3 linked regions of the Sus scrofa genome follow. Each later gene encodes a partner of the first gene's protein in a complex. Links are inferred from orthologs where the notes say so. Each region holds a gene or a part of one and is shown in the gene's direction. Other genes may lie near its edges. The genes, in order: MEFV, RIPK1 and RIPK3.

Region 1 (7,863 bases):
TGAGAATTTCCCACATCTGATGTTTCCACCGTAAAGGTGCATTTGGGTGCATCCATTTTTTAGGGAAGATGTCGGCTTTGGCTGTTATTTTCTTAGCAGAAAACTGGATGTTGTCAGCTGTTAAACACCAAACACTGAATCCTCTGTAAAGCATGTAGATCAATCGGACATTAAACTAAATTCAACCAACTAGAAGTCATGGAAGGCTTGATCCTAGGTTGGCCATACACAGGGCTGTTTGTTCAGTCAGGCATCCGAATGTTGTAGCTGACCTGTGGAAGCGGTCAGCATGACCCATTTTGAGCCTTGTTGGTCATCTGAAAAGGTGACCTCCATGGTTAGTGATGAGTAAAATTCAGTTTCATCACGCAGGGAGGCAGTATTACAAGGTGGTTAATAGAGGGTGTTTGAACCCTGGCCCCGGGCAAGTCTCTAAGCCACTAAGCCAGGGATGATGGATGCTGCACCGAAGGGGGACTGCAGAGATTTCAGGGAATAATGGATAGAAAGCAAGCTGAGCTGTGCCTGGCACAGAGGAAGCACTTTTGAAGGCTGAGTGTATCACTGGCAAAACATCTGTCAGCCAACATTTCCTGAAAAAGAAAGTTTAAACCAGGATGTGCACATGATGCCAACTAAGTGACAGAAGTTCCACCATTTTGCAACCACCACTGTAGCAACTGATTTGGGAAGGGATCATCCAGGAATTCTAATAGCAGCGGGTGAAAGACCATAGAGGCTGAGACATTTCTACACAGCCAGGTTAGTTATTAATTACAAAGACAAAAGGGACCTTTTACAATGGAGAGATCTTAAGGATGCAGGGATGTGCCCTCAGTCTAATAAGGAAGGAAGAATCACACAAATGTGCACTGAAGGACATTTAGCAGACTTTTCAAAACCATTAATGTCTTGAAAGAATTTTAAAAGAACGAAAAAATTTTTAAAAATTCAGGAGTTCCCATCATGGCTCACCAGAAATGAATCTGACTAGTATCCATGAGGACATAGGTTCGATTCCTGGCCTCGCTCAGTGGGTGAAGGATCAGATGTTGCTATGAGCTGTGGTGTAGGTGGCAGACACGGCTCAGATCCCACGTGGCTGTGGCTGTGGCTGCGGCGTAGGCCAGTGGCTACAGCTCTGATGCGACCTCTAGCCTGGAAACCTCCATATGCCACAGGAGCGGCCCTAGGAAGACAAAAAAAAATTTTTTTAACTAAAAAAAATTTTAAAAAATTCTTTAGGTGCGACCCTAAAAAATTAATTAATTTTAAAGGCCAGGGGGATGTGAAAGTGTTCTAGATAAAAGGAGACTTACAGAGACATGACAACTAAAAGCAATGTGTGCCATCTGATTGGATCCTTGTTTGGAAAAAAAAGCCATCAGAGACATTATCAGAACAATTGAGCAATTCGATTATGGACAGGTTGTAGTATTACAAAAACATTAAAGTTCCTCAGTGTATTAATAGTGTTGTGATTATTTAAAATAATATCTGGGAGTTCCCTGGTGCCTCAGCAGGTTAAGGATCCAGTGTCACTGCTGTGGTTCCGGTCGCTGCTGTGGCATGGTTATGATCCCTGGCTTGGGTACTTCTGTGCATCACAGATGCAACCCCCCAAAATAAAAGAAAATTTAAAAATTGATATCCAGGCATACTTATTCTTAGTATTTAGGGTATCTAGGGTATTTGGGTGATATCTTTTTTTTTTCCTTCTGCTCTTTAGGCATATGGAGGTTCCCAGGCTAGGGGTCCAATTGGAGCCATAGCTGCTGGCCTACAGCACAGCCACAGCAACGCCAGATCCAAGCCGCATCTGCAACCTACACCACAGCTCACAACAACATCGGGTCCTTAACCCACTGAGCGAGGCCAGGGATTGAAACCACAACCTCATGGTTCCTAGTCGGACTCATTTCCACTGCGCCATAATGGGAACTCCTGGAGTGATATCTGATATGTTTTAAATTTATTACCAAATGCTTCAGAAAAAAAAGAGAAGTGAAAGCATGTGTGTGTGTGTGTGTGTGTGTGTGTGTGTGTGTGTGTGAGAGAGAGAGAGAGAGACAGAGAATCACCAAACATTATAAAATGTAAACAGCTGGTGATCCTAGGATAAAGGGTATATAAGGGTTCACTGTACTATGCTTTCAACTTTTCTGTGGATTTGAAATTTTTTTTTTTCTTGTCCTTTTAGGGCTGCACCCTTGGCCTATGGAGATTCCCAGGCTAGGGGTTGAATCGGAGCTGCAGCCGCCAGTCTATGCCGCAGCCACAGCAACACAGAATCCGAGCCACATCTGCGACCTACACCACAGCTCATGGCAACACTGGATCCTTAACTCACTGAGTGAGGCCAGGGATCAAACCTTCATCCTCATGGATACTATTCGGGTTCATTTCTGCCAAGCCACAACTGGGAAATCCTGACATTTTTGGAAACAAAATGTCGGGGTAAAAATCAGTGCAGAAAGACGGAGCAGTCAACCAAGGAAGAAGTCAGCCCCCACCCCACACACAACACTTAGCTTCGGAGCCACCGCTGGGGCCCCACACTGGGCTGCGAGCTCTGCCGGATGCCTGTGCGGTTTTTCAGCCCTGTTTCTCTGGCATCCTGGCCCAGGGTCCCAGACACATGCTCAGTAGATGTGCAGGGACAAGAGCGCCCCCTCCGAGGCCTGGGGCTAGGAAGCTGCGGCAGAGGTAGCGCTGGGACAAACAAATCAGGATGGTGGGCCCAGGCCTGTGGCATTTTGAGGCATTCGTGTTGCTGGAAGAACCAGACAACCAGAACAACATTCAAGGGGGAGATAACAGGGCTGGTTTCTGGGCGGTGCCCTTCCAGCCTCACCTGCCTCCTTGGGTTGTACCTGCGGCTCCCCATTCCCCGCTCCACAAAGTCCCAAGAGTCTGCAGGGGAACAGCTGGCCGGAGAAGCTGACTTTCATCATGCTCCTCTCCAGCATGGGACCAGGGGCTCTGTTCCCCCCACTGTACCCCTGTATCCTGGGAGAAGCCAGGGAAGCATCACCATACCTCTCCCAAGATCAAGAACCTGGAATCCAGGAGTTCCTGTGGTGGCCCAGCCGGTTAAGAACCCCAAAGAGTGGCCCTGAGGATATGGATTCGATCCCTGGCTTCACTCAGTGGGTTCAGGATCTGGCACTGCGGCAAGCTGCGGTGTAGGTCACAGATGTGGCCTGGAACCAGGGTTACTGCGACTGAGGTGCAGGCCCGCAGCTGCAGCTCTGACTCAACCCTTAGCCCAGGAAATTCCATATGCCAAGGGTCTAGGCATAAAAAGGAAAGAAAAAAAAAAAAAAAAAACCTGGACTCCAATTCCAGACCCTCCAAGACTTACCCACCGCTCTGCAATCCATCTCAGCCAGTGAGAGCTCAGGTGCCGGCCACCTGTCTGACGGGGCGTGGAGCTCTCCCAGCTGGAAAAGCCTCTGCATCTGTAAGAGAACCCAAGCCAGCCATGACATGCTCATGGCCTTAGTCTCAGTTCCCACCAAAACGGAGAGCATTTCCTGTGCCTTTTCCGTTATTTCACAAGCTACCTCTTCTCACTCACCCTCGGGGCTCCAGGGCAGAGAGCTCAGAAGACAGACAGCTGCCTCCAGGCTCTCCTGGGCCACGCTATGGCCAAGACCCCCAGTGACCATCTGCTCTACTCCCTGGAAGAGCTGGTGCCCTATGACTTTGAGAAGTTCAAGTTCAAGCTACAGAACACCAGCCTGGAGAAGGAACACTCCCGGATCCCCCGGGGCCAACTCCAAACAGCCCAGCCAGTGAAGCTGGCCATGCTACTGGTCACCCACTATGGGGAGGACTATGCTGTGCAACTGACCCTACAGGTCCTGAGGGCCATCAACCAGCATCTCCTGGCAGAGGAGCTCCACAGGGCAATCAGCCCAGGTAAGTGGCCCCATGCCCCCGCAACTTGCTGGCTGCTGGCGGGGTGGGGTGGAAGGCGCAAGAGGGAACTGATGTTTGGACCAGGGCGTCTTGAGTCCAAGGTCTGCCACAACCCTGGTGACTTGAGCCAAGGAAGTGCTTACCCCTCTCTGGTTTTTGGAGGAAAGGTAAGGCTCCCAATGGCTTAACAAACAAAACAAAACAAAACAAAACCCAGAAGGCTGAGGTTCTGACTCTGGAGTGGGATCAGGAGAGGCAGGAGTGGCTGCCCGTTGGTAGAGGCGCCTCGCTTCATTTGTGATTAGCACTCACCCGGAGAGGAACAGCTTTGTTTGGATGATCACAGGGTTGATGGATGAACAGCAGGGTTGATGGGTAATCTCAGTGGTACCCCCTGAATTTCTGCTCTCAGTTCTTCTTTAACGCATGTTACAAAGGTATTTTAAAATTCTCAAAAGGACTCTCTTCTTTCTTTTTCCTTGCTTCCTTTCCTCTTTTGCCTCTTTCCTTCTCTCTCTCTTCCTTTCTTCCTTCATTTCCTGCATCTTTTCTTTCTTTCCTTTTTTCCATCCTTATCTTCCTTCTGCTACTGTTTTGCTGCAACTTTCTGATTTTATGACATTGTAATCAAAGAATGTGGCCAAGTGGTTCCTGTTTTTAAAGACTTTTTTTTTTTGGAGATGGGGGTGCTAAGACATGATTAGTTTAAAAAATTATTCTTTCATATTTGAATTTTTCTTACATTTCTAGACTTTTAAGAATACATCAGGAATACTTTATATGTGCTTCTATGAGGCAGAAGACTTTACATAACATAGAAATTCTCTGCTCTTTGAAAGAGTGATAAAACTAAAGCGTAATCTGAGTCTGGTGTAACCTGATGAGTAGAATTTTTAAGTTAATTTTTTGTATTTTAAAATCTGGTTATTAGCATTTTCATGGTTTCTTACCAGTTCTGGATCCCGTCTGGGTAACATGTTTTCCTAGACACCCAACAGCAAAATGTTTAAGCAACTTTAAATTCTAAGTATTTTTCAAACCAAAAATTAAGGTGCTAATTACAGGTTATTTTCATTTCCTTATTAAAGTAGTTTGAAAACCGTATCCCGGGAAGATATTTCACAGGTTATTTAGACTGTTACCAAATACCTAATTCAGATGTTGTTGTTTTAACTTATGAAACAAATTCATATTAAAATGTATATTAACCAAATTTTAAATACTGGAGGCCATCAGTGTGAAAGTTCGTGCTACACTTGAACTTTTTATGGAGACCCTGGAATTCAGCCTTTCTCGTTGTGTCTGTTTAATTAAACAGTATTCTGAAATTTCTATGCAAGCTGTATTTAACAAAAATTACTATGACGCTTGTCCGAGTTAAGGTTTTCTTTGCCTCATGATACCAAAGGGGAAAAAAACCCAGAAACAAATTAGCTTCTGAAGTTTTAACTGTCCTTCATAACCCCTGATTTCAAATTTGTGTGCCAATCTTTACTGATGGATTTTGTAAGTGGGTTTTGTACGTCGATAAACCACACACGAATGCATACCAATAAACAAATGTTTTCACTTACGCGTTAAGAATTCTTAGCAAGACCTAGGTTTCCCGCCTACAAAAGTTTGAAAAGGGAGTTCCCGTCGTGGCGCAGTGGTTAACGAATCCGACTAGGAACCATGAGGTTGCGGGTTCAATCTCTGCTCTTGCTCAGTGGGTTAAGGATCTGGCGTTGCCGTGAACTGTGGTGTAGGTTGCAGACGCGGCTCGGATCCCACGTTGCTGTGGCTCTGGCGTAGGCCAGTGGCTACAGCTCCGATTGGACCCCTAGCCTGGGAACCTCCATATGCCGCGGGAGCGGCCCAAGAAATAGCAAAAAGACAGAAAAAAAAAAAAGTTTGAAAAGCACTATTTCAGAAGACAGCAAATAATTAGTATGTTTTTATGTAATAGTAACTGACTGCCGACGTCTAGAATGTCCTGAACGTCCCTCATTTCAGGGGGAATTGTCTCTTCTCTCCCCTTCCCCACACCTTGACCCCGAGACTCTTCATGCCTTTTTATCTGTCTTTTCAGAATATCAGATACAAGAAAATGACACAGACAGTTCAGCAACGTCATGCTCCTCTAGGGAGATTAAGCCCAAAAGCCTGAAGATACTGGATGGCCTGGAAGGTGACAAGCAGCGACAGAGCAGTGACGGGGCTGGCTGCCCACCATCCATGCAGCCTGAGGCTGGCAAGGGGCCCCAGAAGAAGCCCCAGGTCAAACGGAGAGATCAGAAAGGCCCTGAGGGCCTAGATGCACAGAGCAAGCCAGGGGCCCGGAACATGACCACGTCTTCCAAGAGAAGCCCACTCCCTAGCAAGCCCCAGGGGGAGAAGGGGAGCAAGCCCGGTGTCAGCCTCCGCAGAAATGCCAGCTCTGCAGGAAGGCTCCAGGGCCTGGCCGGGGGCTCGCTGGCTGGGTCCCTGGGAAGGAGAGAATTTAAGATCTCTGAAGCCTATTTACCCACAGGAAAGAAGCGACCCAAAAGTCTTGAACTGACCATTTCTCCCGGAGAGATAGAATCCCTTCATCCAGAAACACTTCTGCTTCAAGAGAAAATGGGAAGTGAGAATCCAGGCTCAGCAGCCACCCCCAGTGAGATGGCCACTCTGAATGTGTGTGCTCCTGTGGCTCCAGAGAAAGGCTCCAGGAATCTGGAACATTCCATGACCCTGCAGGGGGGTGCACTCAGGAATACACTGTCCAACATATCGTTGGCTGCAAAGAAGAAGACGTGGGAGCGCCCAGAATCCACAGCACCTCCAGAGAAGAAAGGAACTGAGGCTCCAGAGAGCTCCAGGACTGTGGAGGAGGTGGCAGGCGGTGTGCTCCATGTACCTTCAAATCCGAAAGGCCCTCTGTCTTCAGGTAAGAAAGGACCTCAGAATCCAGGAGACTCAGCATCCTTGGGCATAATGACCTGTGCGGGTTTCCCCTATAAACCTCTGTTTATCCCCATTGTGTTTATTCCACTGGACCCCTGGGTGCCCCTTGAGGTCCTCAGCCCTTTGAGAATTTGATGTAGGCTCTGAATCCTGAAAAAAAAAAAAAGTGCACATGCACATCTTCAGGAGATGCTGCCTCCATTTCGGTTAGTTCTCTGTTTTGGGCTGTGCCTGTAGCAAGCGGATGTTCCTGGGCCAGGCATCAAACCCACACCACAGCAGGGACACCACCAGATCCTTTCCGTTAGTTAGTTCTTAGATACACTGATGTCCTTCTTAAGACTTCCCAAGGGCTTCGTGGACTCCAGGTTGAGCATCTGGAAAAGACTGGGTGGAAAGATCACCCTCTCACAATACCCCACGGTAGTATGTCGTGGGGCTGAGATCTTGCCATTGGCCTCTCCGGGCAAGGAGGGAGCTGTTGGCTAAACTCCTTGGGTCTCTTTTACTCAAGAGGCAGAAATTAGGGTTATGATGGGTTGACAGAAGTGCCAAAATAATGTAAGTGAAACAAGTCTGAAGTTTGTCCCCCCTCCATGTAAATGACACATAGGTGGTCCAGGATAAATGTGGTACCCTGTGGCCAGGAACCCAAGCTCCTGCCCTTTTTCTGCTCCACAGAGTTTGCTCTCAAGTTCATGGTCTCCAAGAGCAGCGTCCGCATTCTGGGCAGCGGGATGGAGGCACAAGGGAGAAGACGATCACTCAGGGAAGGTTTTCTCCAGTTTGCAGACACTGCTCATGGTGCCTCTACTTATTCACGTCCTCTTGGCCAGAATGAACAGGCACACCTTGGAAATATCGTGGGTTTGGCTCCAGGCCACTGCACTAAAGCAGATATTGCAATAAAGCAAGTCACATGGATTTGCTGGCTTCCCAGAGTATATTGTTTACACTACACTGTAGCCTATATGAGGTGTGCAATAGTCTTACATCTGAAAAACAATGTAC
Region 2 (7,990 bases), on another chromosome or scaffold:
AGTGTTGGATTATTTTTGAAGAAAACTCAGGTCTCCTTCAGTTGTTGATTCCACCAGGGCAGCTTTTAACGCTATACTTTGTTTTTTGGCTTTTTTAGGGCCACACCTGTGGCACATGGAGGTTCCCAGGCTGGGGGTCGAATCAAAGCTATAGCTGCTGGCCTACACCACAGTCACAGCAATGCAGGATGGGAGCCGCATCTTCAACCTACACCACAGCTCATGGCAATGCCGGATCCTTAACCCACTGAGCGAGGCCAGGGATCGATCCTGTGTCCTCGTGGTTCCTAGTCAAGTTTGTTAACACTGAGCCACCTAAGGGAACCCCCTAACTCTATACTTATTAATGGACAGAAATGGTACCTCTCTCTTCTAGAAAAAAGGACCAGAATAGATTAGAAAACTGTATCAACTCTAAATTTTTTTAATCTAGCAAACCAGCTCTTTCACTCTAGACGTGTCACCTCAAAGGAAGACCAAAATTCTTAAATCTTCAACCGCAGTAATTGAAGTCTTCTAAATAAAACCAAAATCCTCCCAGTTTTCTTTGATTATGCAAGGAGCCCAGACATTGGAAAAGAGATTGTCACCAGTGCAAAGGCTTTAGGTACCTCTGCCCTCTAAGCAGCCTCTCCAGTGCTCTCCCCATCTTCAGTGACATCTTAAAGAGCCCAATGAACCACTCCAGGTCTGGCAAACAAATGTCTTACAATTTCCTCCACCTCGTGGCTATTTTAGTCATGGTCTGCGTGTTTTTCCACTGGACTGAAGTCTTCCCCTGTAGTCAGGCTACTCCCTTTTTTTTTGGTTAAAGTTCTTTTGGGAAAGAATACCCCTATCTGGAAAACTCTTCTTGCGGTTCACAGTGATCAAGGGACCCGTTTTACTGGTGAAGAACCTCAGCAAGTGTGCTCTGTATGGCCAGTTGTGCAACACCGTAGCTGCAGTTACACCCTCAGTGCTCTGGTTTACCTGACTGTGCTAATGGTGCCCTTATAACTCAGCTGGCAACATTTGCAAAGGTTTCTAAATACTTTGGCCAAAAGCATTGCCGTTGGTCCTTCTGAATCTTCGATCCACTTCTTATATTCATAAACTCTCACGGTCTGAGATAGTCATAGGACACACGTTATGCTTGGCGCCTGCCTCTTTTGACCCAGGAGTGCTATGCATTGTTCCACTATCATAAAGATCTAATTACTTCAACCAAAAATAACCATGATTTTGTAGTCTTTCCAGTGTCTCCAGGGAAATGAAGACCTTAAGCCTCACACCTGCAACCAGTAGATTTTATCTGTGGGAGTAAGACACCTCCAAACTCTTCAACCTTATTGGAAAGGCCCTATCAGGTACTGCTAACCAACCCTTGTGCCACCACACTCCAAAGAACTGACTCTTGGACTCACATGACACAATTACATTTAAGAGCCAAAGCCTGACTGGACCTGTACAGCATCTGGCGACCTAAAGGTAAAGATTTCCCAGAATTGAAGCAGATGGCATCTGATGAGTCAGCTTTCCCAAGATAACTGGACCAGGCGTGTTGGGAGTTTGTTGCCAAAGCTTTGACAACACAGCACTTCAGATGATCTCCAGCGTCTCTGATCTTGGTAACATATGAACTTTGGGTGAAAAGTGCCTGACAGCTCTCATACTCCTCCTTCTTACTCCAGTGTAACCTCTGCATGTTTGCAATCTGTGTCCTTTCCCACTGATGGGAGATAGGAAAGGGCTTTCCTGACACTGGGGTACAGAAAAGCCACTGACACCAAAAAAATCTCATGCTTGAATGGAGATGCTTTCAGAGAAAGATCTTGATCAAAGGGGGAAATGTAAAAATCAAATGAACAAAGAACAAAAACCTTAAATAGAGGAGGCCAGAAGGGGGAGTTCTCATACCTGCAACAGCAGCAGAGAGGCCAAGAGGAAGAAAAAACACCTCTTCTCTCCAGGCAACTCAACCAGTGAAAAGCTACAGACTTTTTTTTTTTTTTCCCCACTGTACAGCAAGGGGATCAAGTTATCCTTACATGTATACACTACAATTACATTTTTTTCCCCACCCTTTGTTCTGTTGCAACATGAGTATCTAGACAAAGTTCTCAATGCTATTCAGCAGGATCTCCTTGTAAATCTATTCTAAATTGTGTCTGATAAGCCCAAGCTCCCTATCCCTCCCACTCCCTCCCCCTCCCATCAGGCAGCCACAAGTCTTTTCTCCAAGTCCATGATTTTCTTTTCTGAGGAGATGTTCATTTGTGCTGGATGTTAGATTCCAGTTATAAGTGATAGCATATGGTATTTGTCTTTGTCTTTCTGGCTCATTTCACTCAGGATGACATTCTCTAGTTCCATCCATGTTGCTGCAAATGGCATTATGTCATTCTTTTTTATGGCTGAGTAGTATTCCATTGTGTATGTATACCACCTCTTCCGAATCCAATCATCTGTCAATGGACATTTAGGTTGTTTCCATGTCCTGGCTCTTGTGAATAGTGCCGCAATGAACATGCAAGTGCATGTGTCTCTTTTAAGTAGAGCTTTGTCCGGATAGATGCCCAAGAGTGGGATTGCAGGGTCATATGGAAGTTCTATGTATAGATTTCTAAGGTATCTCCAAACTGTTCTCCATAGTGGCTGTACCAGTTTACATTCCCACCAACAGTGCAGGAGGGTTCCCTTTTCTCCACAGCCCCTCCAGCACTTGGTATTTGTGGATTTATTAATGATGGCCATTCTGACTGGTGTGAGGTGATATCTCATGGTAGTTTTGATTTGCATCTTTTTTTTTTTTTAAACTATAGCCCTCCTAACTTCCTCTGTCCCCATAAAAGTGTCCTCCTCTCCATTTTTGCTGGGGCTTTGCACACAGCTTCCTACAGTTGCAGACCCTGAAATGCAATCCTTTGTGGATCATGAATAAACCTTTTTTTTGAGAAATAGTTGGCAGTCTATTTTAAGTCAATAGGATGTACTGGTATCTCATTGCTGTTTAAAATCACAGTTTCTGGAGTTCTCTCGTGGCACAGCAGGTTAAGAGCCCAGCATTGTGACTGCAGTGGCTCAGGTTGCTTTAATGACATGGGGTCTATCCCAGGCCCAGGAACTTCCACATGCTGCTTGAGTGCAGCCAAAATAAATAAATGAATAAGAAGAAATTCATAATTTCCTAGTGACTTCTAATATTGACCATCTTTTCACATGCCATCTATATGGTAAAGTGACTGTTCAGATCTTTTGCCCATTTTCTTACTGCGATGTTCCTTTTCTTAGGTTTTTACTTCATTTTGGGTAATACTGTTTTAATATATGTGCTTTTTCTTAGTTTGTGGCATCTCATTCTCTTGATGTATGTACCGTTTTACAGTATGTTATCACGCTGTGTATAAGCTTTTTAACGTAACACTAGAGCAAGTATTTCCCATTTTGCTTGAGACTTCCCAATTATCATTGCAAAAGACTGCAAAATAAATACCTTGCTCTTCTACTCTAAAATCCAGAGTAGATTTTATTATCCTCGCTGTACAGGTGAGGGAGATGAGAGCATGATAATTGCCTATAGTTCCAGCGCCGCTGACCCGCGGAGCTGAGAACTCCCCTGGGGCTGCATGCCCCACCTGGGAGGTTTCTAAGAGTGGTTTCTAAGACTCCGCGCACTTCCTCTCCGGGCCTCCGGACTCGCTCTGAAACGCAGCAAAGCCGCGACATCTGGCTGGGCGCACTCCAGGTTCCGAAAGCTGTCCAGGAGGCCCGGCCGGCGGCGGGGCGGGCGCTCGGCTCGCCCTCCTCCGGGGCAGGGGCAGGGGCAGAAGGCGGAGCGAGCAGTCCACGCCCTCCTCCGGCCGAGCTCACTCAGTCGGCGCGCAGGCGACGGGGACACCGGATCGGCTTTCTGGAGCGCCGGTCCCGGCGGGCCCACTCCGCGAGGGCCGGAGCGCGCCGACCCACGGGGCAGCAGGCGGCGGACGGCGGGCTCGCGCAGCCGGGGGCGGGGAGCGCGGGGCCGCCCCGCCGGTGTCGCAGCCGACGGCTCAGCCCGCGGCGACCCTCGTCAGGCTCCGCGCCGGCGACGCTGCCGGGCGTCGGGGCAATCCTGGACTGCCCCCGCCGCCTCGTCCTCCACCCGGCCCCGGCCCCCGCCTCGGCCTCGGGAAGCTGCCCGCGGAAGCGAAAGCGAATCCTTCGGTGGGTCTGCGCTGGGAACCCGGACCGCGGTCAGGTTCCCCGAACGGCTTCCGCCCAGGGCGGGGCTCCCGCTTCCGGCGCGCGGGCGGCGGGCGGGCGACCGCGTTCCGGACGGACGGGGCGGCGGGCCGGTCAGGTGGTGAGCGTGGCCGTCGGCGTTCCCGGAAGTCAGGCTGTGGGCGTGGCCCGCGACCTCGTTCCGGGCGGCGGGGTTCTCCGCGGGTCGGACCAGGGACGCGGGTCCGGCGACGGGTGCTGGGCGCGGCCCGCGGCGCTCCCGGGGTCTGGCGGTGGGCGTGGCCCAGGCCTTCCCGGAAGTCGGCCGGCGGTCCGCGCGGGGTGGGCGTGGCCCAGGCGTTCCCGGAAGTCGGGCGCGGGCCGGTTACCTGGCCGCAGCGCGGCGGCTCCCCGCTGGCGGGTGGTTTCGGTCTGGCGGTCCGAGGGCGGAGCCCTGCCTCCCCTGTGATGTTGGAACCAACCGACGCCGTTCCCGCTGTCGAGCTGGTGGGGGAGGTGGGGTTTCACGGCGGTGTCATTGAGCCCGGCCTCCTTACCGCCCTTCGGAAGGACCTTCGCCTGGGGCCTGGGGCCGCCGCGGCTCGCGGGACGGGGGCGTTTCCGCGTAGCCTCGGCCGGGAGCCGGCAAGTGGGAGAGAAGGGTCCACAGCGACGAAGGGGCAGGATGTCGTAACCCCAGGAGGCCTCGTCCGTGGCCAGTGGCGTTTGCTCTTACCAAGCGCTCCACGACCTCGTCGGAGTTTTTGAAGAGGGCGAGCTAAGTTCTTCTTCCCTGAGCCGTGGACAAAACCCCGCCGGAGGCGTGGTGGTTGGTTGTCTCGGCCTGTTGCTGATCGTTTGGCAGCTCCTTGCTCAGAGCTCTTGTGTATCTTGGACAAAGCCTGAAGCCTTTGCACTCAACCAACTTTGCCGAAGTTCTTCGGTCTTTAGACCACTGTTCTTACCCCAAGTTTTACACTCGGAGAAATCAAGGCAGGAGTGAACTTGGCCCTGTAGAGTGACTTCGTGCTTGATCTGCATTTTGTAACCATCAGGTAGGTGCAAAAGAAAGGGAGACAGTCGTGGTCAGTTATACGTGCGGGGAAGGGCAGCTCTTCCAGACAGTAAAGGTGAAGACTGAGTTCGTTCAAAATAAAATGATGGGGTACAGCGGCAGCGTCATTAGTTATCACTGACGAGGCAGCAGTAACGCTTTTAACTTGTCTCCATTTTCCTCTGCGGCACGTTGTACTTGGAGGATTGGGGACATCCGGGAGAGTGAAGAAAAAGTCCCTAAACATCGAGTTCGGAAATCGCCAATTTCCGATTGGGGCTTATTAATCCGCGACACTGTTGATACGGCCAGTGTGATCGGGGAATTTGAAAAAACACAAAGCTTCCCACGCTCTGGTTGGATGTTATTCTCCGGCAAAAATGATCGTGTTATAACCTGCAGAAAGCTGATCTGGAACCACACACTTTGATGTGTGTGTTTCTCAGGGGTGAGCAAGTTTGTGAGATGAGGTTCTTGCACGTGATTTTAACAAAGGTTATGGTTTGCTCCCTAGAGAAGAAGCATGTATGTGTTAGCGGAAGTTTGAGTGGAGAGAGGAAAGACTCTGCCGTGTTAGAGGCATCATTCAACTCCAGGAGTTACTGCCTTTACCGTTAGGCCGCAGTGTCCTAAGGTACCTGGGGAGGCTGGCTGGAACGCTTCCTGTCATTCTGTCTTACTTATCATTGGGATGTTCCTTGCTCGGAGCTCTTGTTTATCTGGGGCAAAGCCTCAAGGGGTTATAAGCAAAGAACCCTTGGACACTTGAGTCAAATCAGAGTACTGTCAGCAGGGAAAGGAGGGCAGCGATGGGCAGCATTTTCCGTCAGACTCATTACCTACGGTCATCATTGTAAAATGGAGAAAATACTCCTTCCCACTTAAAGGTGACTATGAGTATTTGGAGTCGCTTTTTAAAATGTTTACATAGAAAAGTGCACAGGGCCTAACTGCTCTCTTGCGCATCGCAGAGGGAACCTGACCAAGTAAGACACTGCTGCCCGCAATCCCTCGAACCTCGTGTCAGTTAGAGCCTCCTGGTCCCCCCCGCCCCCGCCCCCCGGGAGCCACTCTCCCGACTGTTAGGGTCATAGATCAGTTTTGTTGGCGTTTTGGTGTTATTATTTATTATTAACAATTCACATGTCCCCCCAGCTTTACTGAGGTATAGTGAGAAACAAAATGGAATATAGCTATAAATATTTTGATACCTAGACCTGTCGTGCCTTTGAAGGTCATTAGTGAAGTTTCAGTTAACTTCAGTGGAAAAGATTGCTTTCCTGAGTCCCTGAATTAAATACACTTATGCAGGAGTTCCCGTCACCAGTGCTGCAGAAACCACCTAGAAACCATGAGGTTGAGGGTTTGATCCCTGGCCTCGCTCAAGTGGGTTAAGGATCCGGCGTTGCCATGAGCTGTGGTGTAGGTCGCAGAGGCGGCTCCCATCTGGTGGTGGTGTAGCTGTGGTGTAGGCTGGTGGCTACAGCTCGGATTGGACCCCTAGCCTGGGAACCTCTGTATGCTGTGGGTGCGGCCCTAAAAAACAAACAAACAAAAATATACTTATGCAGAAATCTTAAGAAACCCCATTAAATGAGATATATTCACGTTCTTGTGGAAATTAGTTAATCGCAAGTTGACAACTGGCCGGCTGGCTTTTATTGACCCCTCTGTAACGGGCTTTATCGTCTGGTTTTCTGCCTGCATTGTGTTTTTGTGACTCTTGGGTTTCTAAATCACTCACACACAATCCTTCCTAAATTATTCAGTGTTTATAAAGTTGAATCATTCAAGAGGAAACGGGGGGCGGGGGCAACAGTACAATCTCAAGAAATCATTGGACAGCATGCAAAGGAGCAGAAGTTAGGTCAGACCAGCCTCAACCAGCAAACCGCAGCCCGAGGAGAACCAGCCCAGGTCGGGAGCCGCCCCCACCGAGCGCATCCTGCCTGCAGGGGGTGCTACAAGTCCCCGCTGGTCTTGGTGGCTCTGAGGAGCCAAGATCTGGGCTGAAGGAGAGAGAGCAGCTGGAACCTCATCCTCCTGAATCCTGACACCCCGCTGGGCCTCTTTCAAGGCATGGGTGTAATTCCTTTCTGTTTCTTTACTCGGTCTGTGAGCCTTTTGTAATATTACTAAACATGCATACCCTACCACCATTTTTGAAAACTGCTGGATGTATTTCATGGTGCGAATTGGCCGTATAACTTACTCTCCCTTATTCTGCGCACGTCAGTTGTTTTCTGTTCTTTTGCTGTTCTTCGTAGTGTTACCGGGAGCATCTTTGTGCATAATCTATGCCAGCACCTGATTCCTTAGAATAAAGAACTGCACAGTGAAGGAATTATTTCCTTTAAAACAGATCTGTCGGAGTTCTCCTGTGGTGTATAGGATCCAGTGTTGTTCCTGCAGCGGCTTAGGTAGCTGCTGTGGGGCAGGTTTGATCCCTGGCCCAGGAACGCCCATATGACGTGGGTGAGGCCAAAAAATTCATTACGAAGATAATTCATGTTTATTGTAGAAAACTTGGAAAATGTAGTAAAAGTGTAGAGAAGAAAGAATCACCCAACCATCCAAATAAAATTCCTGCTCACCCGTCAGGGTCTTTCTCTGTATCTTTTCTCCTGGGCCTGTGTCTGTCGGTCTGCCCACCCATCCACCCTGTCATGCACTGGCTGTATAGTGGTACAGCTTGTGAATATGCTTGAATCCGCTTAACTCTAGTCTTTATCTTTGAACAATTCTAGTTCTTTT
Region 3 (7,990 bases), on another chromosome or scaffold:
TTTTTTTCTCTTCTCCTCATGAGGTAGGCAATTTGATGATTGTTATTTGCCTCTAGATTTTTTATCTCTGTGTCTCTGCTGATGTGTTCTGATGTTTTTTTGTTTTTGTTTTGTCTTTTTAGGGCCGCACCCGCGGCATTACGGAGGTTCCCAGGCTAGGGGTCCAATTGGAGCTACAGCTGCCAGCCTATACCACAGCCACAGCAACACAGGATCCAAGCTGCTTCTGCAACCTACCCTGCAGCTCATGGCAATGCCGGATCCTTAACCCACTGAGAGAGGCCAGGGATCGAACCCACAACCTCATGGTTTCTAATCAGATTTGTTTCTGCTGCACCACAATGGAAGCTCCTGATGAATTTTTTTTTTCAGATCCATCTTTTAGTACACTTTCTTCAGCTATATCTTCTGCATTGCAGTTTTAATTTTAACGGATGGGCACATATAATTTTTTTTATTTCTTGATATTCTGTTTTTTCCCTAAGTCTAGTTGGACATTTTTATAATCTCTTATTTCATGCTAATTTTTTTTCTATTCCATCTTTTATTTCTTTAAACATTTCGCAATAACTTCTTTAGAGTCTTCATCTGATTGTCCCAAACTCTGAAATCCTTAAAGATTTAAACCCGTTGATGGGAGTTCCCATCGTGGCTCAGTGGTTAACGAATCTGACTAGGAACCATGAGGTTGCAGGTTCGATCCCTGGCCTCGCTCAGTGGGTTATGGACCCAGCCTTGCTGTGGCTCTGGCAAAGGCTGGTGGCTACAGCTCCGATTAGACTCCTAGCCTGGAAACCTCCACATGCCACCAGTGCAGCCCTAGAAAAGACGACCAAAAAAAAAAAAAAAAATGCCAAGAGAGTTCAAAATTTACGGGGCCCTGAGGTCCAAGCTAAGGAGCAAGTGGAGGCCTGGAAGATTGTAGCTATGCCCAAGGCAGGCAGATAAACACAATAACACCTTTATGGCTTGAAGGTGTATGAACAGCACCTCAGCCTGTACACCTACCTGCACCTGCAGCTCAGAATGGACCCCTAGCCTGGAAACTTCCATATGCTGCAAGTGCAGCCCTAAAAAGAAAAAAAAAAAAATCCTAAATAGTTTGCAAATAGCATGGACTGACGTCACTAGAATTCATGATGTAGATCCCGGAGTTCCAGTTGCTCTAGAAACCTCAGTTAAACGCTGGCCACTTTTGCTCCAACTAACAGAGCCCATGAACCACTGGACAGAATGGAAAGTTCATACCAAGGTGAGCACCGTCCTGTGAGAGCTGGCCCATGACCCACAGGGTTGGGTCTCCTGTAAAGGAATGAAAGCCCAAGACTAGCCATATCTAGCTCTACAACCTCCAGCTATTGTCAGGCTTTGGGCAGGTAATCTATGGACACCTTTTATCTACTCTAAATCCTTAAGGTTCCCCCAAGCTCCTGAGTTCTCCAAGGCCCTTGTCCAGAGCACATGCTTGTCAGGAATATTTATTAACCAGAGAATTTTCCCTGAGGAATTGCTGCAGGAGGAGAGGGCAGGCAGGCTCTGAGGTGTTCCACTGCAGTGTACACCACCAAGTCAGCAATTCTTTTTGCTGGGTCAATTCCTCTCGCTGACCACAATGCCCTAGGAGTGGGTCTTGGTCTTGCCAGCAGACAAATCACCACCAGTGGCAGGAATACATACAGGGACTCCCACTACACTGCTGGATGCTTCATACCTTCCTCAGACACCTTCACGACCAGCTGAAGCTTATATGAATATAGCAAAGTTTGATGGTTCAGAGAACCCTCCTGCACTGCTGGTGAGAAATTAAGCTGGTACAGCCACTACGGAGAACAGTATGGAGGTACCTTAGAAATCTATACATAGAACTTCCATATGACCCAGCAGTCCCACTCTTGGGCATATATCTGGACAAAACTTTCCTTAAAAAAGGCACAGGCACCCATATGTTCATTATAGCACTATTCACAATAGCCAAGACATGGAAACAACCCAAATGTCCACTGACAGACAATTGGATTAGGAAGATGTGGTATATATACACAATGGAATACTACTCAGCCATAAAAAAGAACAACATAATGCCATTTGCAGCAACATGGATGGAACTAGAGACTCTCATACTGAGTGAAATAAGTCAGAAAGAGAAAGACAAATACCACATGATATCACTTATAACTGGAATCTAATATACAGCACAAATGAATCTTTCCACAGAAAAGAAAATCATAGAATTGGAGAATAGACTTGTGGCTGCCAGGGGGAGGGATGGGAGGAGGAGGAGGGATCAAGAGCTTGGGGTTAATCTATGCAAACTATTGCTCTTGGAATGGATTTACAATGAGATCCTGCTGTGTAGCATTGAGAACTATATCTAGATACATCACAACACAACAATGGGAGGGAAAAGTATGTATACATGTATGTTAACTTGTACCCCACGCTGTACAGTGGAAAATAAATAAATAAATAAATAAGTACTTATCCCCTTAGAGTTGACATGCGAATTAAATAGCTAATATATGTACATGGCGTGTGGTGCGCTTTAGAAATGTGTTAGCTCTGACCTTAGGGCAGCTGTAGGAGAGCTGAGTCCTAGGCCCCTAACATGCTCCTCAGCACTGAATCCTCAGCACCAGCAGGCTTGGTGGTTGAGCTAGGAATCCTGCGGAAGAAGGAAACGACACCATTTGTAGGAGGCTGTTGATTATATGTTCCTGGAAAGTGAGGACGCCTTCTGTGGCGATCTAAAAAGGGGCAACTAACCCGGAAGCAGCACGTTCTGAAAACCACTTGCTTCCTTTCTGCACCCCGCCCGCATCCCCGTCCCGGTCTCCCCGCCCCCGTCCGTCCCCCCCCCCCCCCCCCGCCCCCAAGGGCAGGACTGCAGAGGCCTCCGTCAAAGAGGAAGTCGGTCTGGCTGAGTAGAGAGAACAACCTGGGGAGCCGGGAAGCGGATTCCGGGAAGCGGAGTCTGTGACGGGGCTTGGAGATTGATTCCTCTCCCAGCGCCGCCCCCCTTTCCGTGTGGGCTCTCAACTTCCAGAACCCTCTGCACCTACCAACTTGATGTCCGGCGTTAAGTTATGGTGAGTAAAGAGTGAGATATGGATCTGGAGCCACCCCCCCACCACACACACACACACACACACACACACACACACACACACACAATAGGCACCCCGCGGGCTCACTCAGGGGATGCCACCCACCCATGTGCCAAGGCCCCGGGGCATAGTGGGTTTCACGGGGGAGGCTGGGGATTGAACTGACCATATGCAGTCATGGGGGTCACGGGGATGGGGTGGCATGGGGAACAGCAGTGCTGACTTGGGGGTCATGGCCAGCTGATGACCAGGCCTCCTCTCACAGGCACGTTGGTGCTTCAGCGCCCCTGGTGCCCATCGAGGACTTGGAGAACCCGAAGTTCATCGGCAAAGGAGGATTTGGCACGGTCTTCCGGGCGCAGCACAAGACTTGGGGTTTAGACGTGGCGGTCAAGATCGTTAACTCGTGAGTGACCCAAGCTGCTGGCAGCTGGTGCCAGCCAGGTGTTTGGTGGAGAAGGCAGGCCGCTGTAACTCAGGGCCAGGGTGGGAAAGGGAAGGGTCTACCCAGAAGCTGAGCAACTTCTCAGAAGCAGACTCCAACTCTCTTCTGATTGCAGGCAGGCGATATCCAGGGAGGTGAAGGCCATGGCAGGTCTGCATAACAGCTATGTGCTGCTCCTGCTGGGGATCACAGAGAAGCTGGAGTGGGACTATGTATCTGGGCCGGCTCTGGTGACTCAGTTCATGGAGAATGGTTCCCTGGCGGAGCTGCTACAGCCCCAGTGCCCTCGTCCCTGGCCGCTTCTCTGCCGCCTGCTCCAGGAGTTGGTGCTCGGGATGTGCTACCTGCACAGCCAGGACCCTGTGCTCCTCCATCGGGACCTCAAACCCTCCAACGTCCTGCTAGACTCAGAGCTCCATGCCAAGGTCAGCGCATCCCCGCCCCAGCCCAACCTCTGGACAAAATCCTGCTCCAGAGCTGCTCCAGCTCCACTCACTGGACATGAGACCTATCTGCTGCAGCCCAGGATACCCTCAGCAACTCCCTCTGGATATAGGGCTGCCATCCAGGAGCTTTAGCTGCTGCCATACCAGGTGATAGAGGCCTTGACCAACATGGTCAGTTCCACTGTGTTAGAACCCACTAGGACCTCCAAACACCCATGGCTAACCTAGCTTAGGAGGCTCAAATCTTGACCCAGCCCCATGGAGAGAGGACCCAGACCTCCAACCAAGGGCCCCACTTGTCCTACCACTTCTCTAACCCTCCACACCCCCTTTCCAGGGCTGGACCTAAACATTCTATGGGGTAGTGGGAAGAAAGTTCTGGAGGCTGCCTGGCCCTATCCATCCGTATCTCTTCCTTCTTATCTCCCTTTGCAGCTAGCAGACTTTGGCCTGTCCACATTTCAGGGAGGTTCACAGTCAAGGGCAGAATCTGGGGAATCAGGTTGCACCCCAGCCTACTTGGCCCCAGAACTGCTGGCTGATATAAACCGAAAGGCCTCCATGGCCAGTGATGTCTACAGGTAAGGTACCCACTCCACATACACATCCCAATTTCTACACCTCTCTGGGTCCTTCTGAGGGACAATATATGGAAGGGAGTCTTGCCAGCAGTTGGGTCAGGCCTCAGCTTTTGTCTCCTGCAGCTTTGGGATCCTGATGTGGGCGGTGCTAGCCGGAAGAGAAGCTGAGGGTAAGACTCCAGGCAGACTCTGGGATCCCGAATCTCAGGTGTCCCCCTCCTCCAAGCCCCCACCCCCCCAAGCTCTCCTCTTCCTATTGACCTGCTCACACTGCCCTACTCCCTCCTCACCTCTCCTTGGACTGTACTCCCTGCCCCTTTCCATGATGGGCAGGTGGCCCTCACTCTCTGAATGCCTTCTCTCCACGTCCCCCACCCCCTCCCCAGTGGCGACCCAGATATCACTGGTGCGGGAAGCAGTGTGTGAAAGGCACGTCCGACCCCCATTGGATGAACTGCCCCAGTCTGGCCCTGAGAATCCTGGTTTGGAAGGACTGAAGGATTTAATGCAGCGCTGCTGGAGCCATGACCCCCGGAATAGGCCCTCCTTCCAAGGTGCGCTGGCCATTTAGTTGGCAGCTGAGGTAGGCCTGGGTCTGTCCGCAGGGGGCTCTTCCCTGATAATGAAGCTATGCTCACCCACCACCCATTCTGCCTTCTCTCCAGACTGCCGACCCAACACCCAGGGAGCCCTCGATCTGGTAATGAAACAAGATGTAACTTGTAAGAAGATGAATGCCGCGGTCTCCACAGTGAGTGTCTAGCACCCCTAGGAGCTGGGCAGGGAAGGCACAGCATGGCTTCCTTGGCCACCCAATGACTCCCCGCTGACTGTTGTTCTCTAAGCCTTGACTCTCATGCCCACTCCCCCCAACCCATCCCTGAGTTCCCAGGCAATGGACATGGGCCAAGAGGCTCCTCCCTTGGGTTAACCCTGGCTCTCCCACCTCCATGCCCAACCAGCTCTCCATCCTTACAGGTGAAGGAGTTCTTGTCTGAGCACAAGAGCAGCAGCAGCTTGTTGTCTGTCCGTGAGCCAGGCCTGGAAAGTCCAGAAATGGATGGCCTTAGGGGGAGCACAGGAAGCCATGATTCTGTGGTCTCTGAAATGATGAACAGCCTGAACCTGGAGGAGTACCCCAGCTCTGTTCCTGAAAAATGTACAAACCCTCCTGAGAGGATCAGGGCCCAGAAAGAGCAGGTTCAGCCTACCTGGACAGCAGAGATACCTTCAGATTCAACAGCCCAACCTCCTCAAACCCCAGAGACCTTACCTTTCATGAGCCAGAAGCCCAGCCACACCTCAGCTTGGCCCCCAGGCCCTGGACCCCAAGAGAATCAGGTGAGACCTTGGCAGGACTCAAGGATGCACTAGGACTCCTGTGAATCCTGTCCCCTTGCCAGGGAAAACTTGGGGCTGCAGTAGGGGAACAGGCCCAGGGACAGGGAGCCTGATGGCACTGTGTTGTCTGTAGGGGCCTGAAAGACGTGGCACCAACTGGTCTCCCATGGCACCAGGGCCAAATCCAATATCAGGTACCCATTCCCCATTCCCTCCTTTCCTCTGCTCAATTCTTCCACCAGCTTCTTCCTCAAGATCAAATATAGATCCAGGGTACTTGGGGAGGGGGATGAGAAAGGGCTAGAGGTCACCTACCCCAACTTTCTCATCTTATAAATGAAGAAACTGGGATTGGGTCCCACTTAGGTCACACAGCAAAGCCTGGATTTGCCCCTGAGCCTTCTGACTTTCCAGCTCTGTGAACCTCTAAATTCCATTGCTGCTATGTAGGCCCAGAGGGCCACCCAGCAGAAAAGACCCAAATGTCAGCGTCTCAGATGTTCGTTGCCACTCCTCTTGAGCTTCTGCAAACCCAATTCTGAAACCCGAAAGGGAAGACCCAAGGCACTCCTTGACACAGTCGTGGGCAGGCCCAGAGACTGCCTACTTGCATTTCCCCAGGGTGAACACAAGGTGCCGCTGCCCCCCACCCTGCCGCTCCTCCTCGCTTAGACTCTCAGATCTGTACCCTTTAACCCTCCCTCGAGCATCACTGTTTCTCTTAAAGGGCCATGGTCTTCTCAGTTACTTTACAACCAAGGGGTGCAGATTGGAAACAGCAACTACATGGTTATAAAAGGAAGAACTGCCTCATCCACGCGGGGCCCGGTACCTTGGGGCATGAAGAAGGGCCCCCAGCACAAGTAGCTTTCAAACAACTAGAAAGAAGGACTGCAAGAAACGGAAGCCTGGAGTGGGCCACAGGGCTGGTATCATGATAGCAGTATCAAAGCAGCTTCTGAACTGCCTTCTGGAAAACCCAGCATTCTCTGAGGGTCATTAGGCCTGTACCCGAACTGTCTTTGTTCCCCCAGGACTCAATAAACTTGGTGGAATTTTAGCCCAAGCACTGTACAGGAGGCTAAAGCTTCAGCCAGGGGAGGGAAAGGGACATGGATGAGAGACCGGGGAGCTGACATCGAGGGAGTGGGAGGTACTGCCCTTCAACCACAACCACGGACCACAACCAACCGGAAGCAGGATGCTGGGAATGGGCAATGTTGTGGCACACAAGGTCAAGGCCCAGCCGGTGGCAGGAAGGAATCCTGGAGGCCTATCTCCTGGGGCTGCTCTAATCTCAGGGCAAAGCATTTCCTGTAGGGCAGGTCAAGACCCCACCCCAAACCAAACCCTGGATGTAGAGGCTGTGGCCCAGCCACCCACCTTTTCTTGTGGGCTATGGAGGCTTGGCAGTGGGGTCCTGGGGAGGGGGTTCTCCATGGGAACTCGCAGTCCCCAGCACATCTTTGCCCTGCACGATGCCCCTAGTCTCTCACAGGTCAGCCTCCATATTACCACTCCCTCCCCCAGGTACACCCACGCACACATTGCTGTAACACGGAGGCCTCAGAACCCTTTGATTCCCTGCTGGTGTCTAGGAGTGGAGAGCAATGGCTCCACAAAGCTACACACACACCCCTCCCTTGGAGTTGGACATCACTGGAGCATGGACCGGTCAGATGGGGCCACAGCACTGCCACCCAGTCTGGAGGGGCAGGGAATGAGCAGCCCTCTCATCTTGACCTAGACTTTAGCTCCCATACAGCACCATGTGCTTCTTCCCTGCATTTTTGCCAGTCTTCCTTCCAGCCCTCCCTCAGTCTCCCCACATCCAAGGTTCTGAGTCCATTTTGATACTGGCCCAGCACCCCCATGGTCTGCATTCTCATTCCTTGAAGGGGTTGATGGGAGGAGGCCCTGGTGCTGGGAGAGACAATCAGACTGGGGGAGGAGGCCTGTGGAGTCTGGCTAGGGCACAGGAAGGGCCGGGCTGTCCCATCAGGGAAGTGGGAGGGGGCTGAGGCGCCGGGAGGGAAGCGCCTGTGGCCCAGGGCTCAGAGCTACCAGCCCAGA

The links.
Region 2: MEFV (region 1) and RIPK1 share a complex: the UniProt entries of both Homo sapiens proteins name them as parts of the AIM2 PANoptosome complex. The link is inferred for Sus scrofa from reciprocal best matches to the Homo sapiens genes MEFV and RIPK1.
Region 3: MEFV (region 1) and RIPK3 share a complex: the UniProt entries of both Homo sapiens proteins name them as parts of the AIM2 PANoptosome complex. The link is inferred for Sus scrofa from reciprocal best matches to the Homo sapiens genes MEFV and RIPK3.

What each region holds. Positions count from the first base shown.
Region 1 is NC_010445.4:38,931,041-38,938,903, forward strand, and holds the start of MEFV (pyrin), read left to right. Parts: upstream 1-3,580; 5' UTR 3,581-3,647; coding exon 3,648-3,924; intron 3,925-5,995; coding exon 5,996-6,835; intron 6,836-7,863. UniProt on the Homo sapiens protein: Involved in the regulation of innate immunity and the inflammatory response in response to IFNG/IFN-gamma.
Region 2 is NC_010449.5:1,837,310-1,845,299, forward strand, and holds the start of RIPK1 (receptor-interacting serine/threonine-protein kinase 1), read left to right. Parts: upstream 1-3,833; 5' UTR 3,834-5,237; intron 5,238-5,750; 5' UTR 5,751-5,870; intron 5,871-7,990. UniProt on the Homo sapiens protein: Serine-threonine kinase which is a key regulator of TNF-mediated apoptosis, necroptosis and inflammatory pathways.
Region 3 is NC_010449.5:74,948,273-74,956,262, forward strand, and holds RIPK3 (receptor-interacting serine/threonine-protein kinase 3), read left to right. Parts: upstream 1-2,872; 5' UTR 2,873-3,066; coding exon 3,067-3,086; intron 3,087-3,369; coding exon 3,370-3,510; intron 3,511-3,664; coding exon 3,665-3,974; intron 3,975-4,430; coding exon 4,431-4,576; intron 4,577-4,699; coding exon 4,700-4,746; intron 4,747-4,962; coding exon 4,963-5,130; intron 5,131-5,241; coding exon 5,242-5,327; intron 5,328-5,554; coding exon 5,555-5,917; intron 5,918-6,050; coding exon 6,051-6,111; intron 6,112-6,644; coding exon 6,645-6,784; 3' UTR 6,785-6,983; downstream 6,984-7,990. UniProt on the Homo sapiens protein: Serine/threonine-protein kinase that activates necroptosis and apoptosis, two parallel forms of cell death. Necroptosis, a programmed cell death process in response to death-inducing TNF-alpha family members, is triggered by RIPK3 following activation by ZBP1.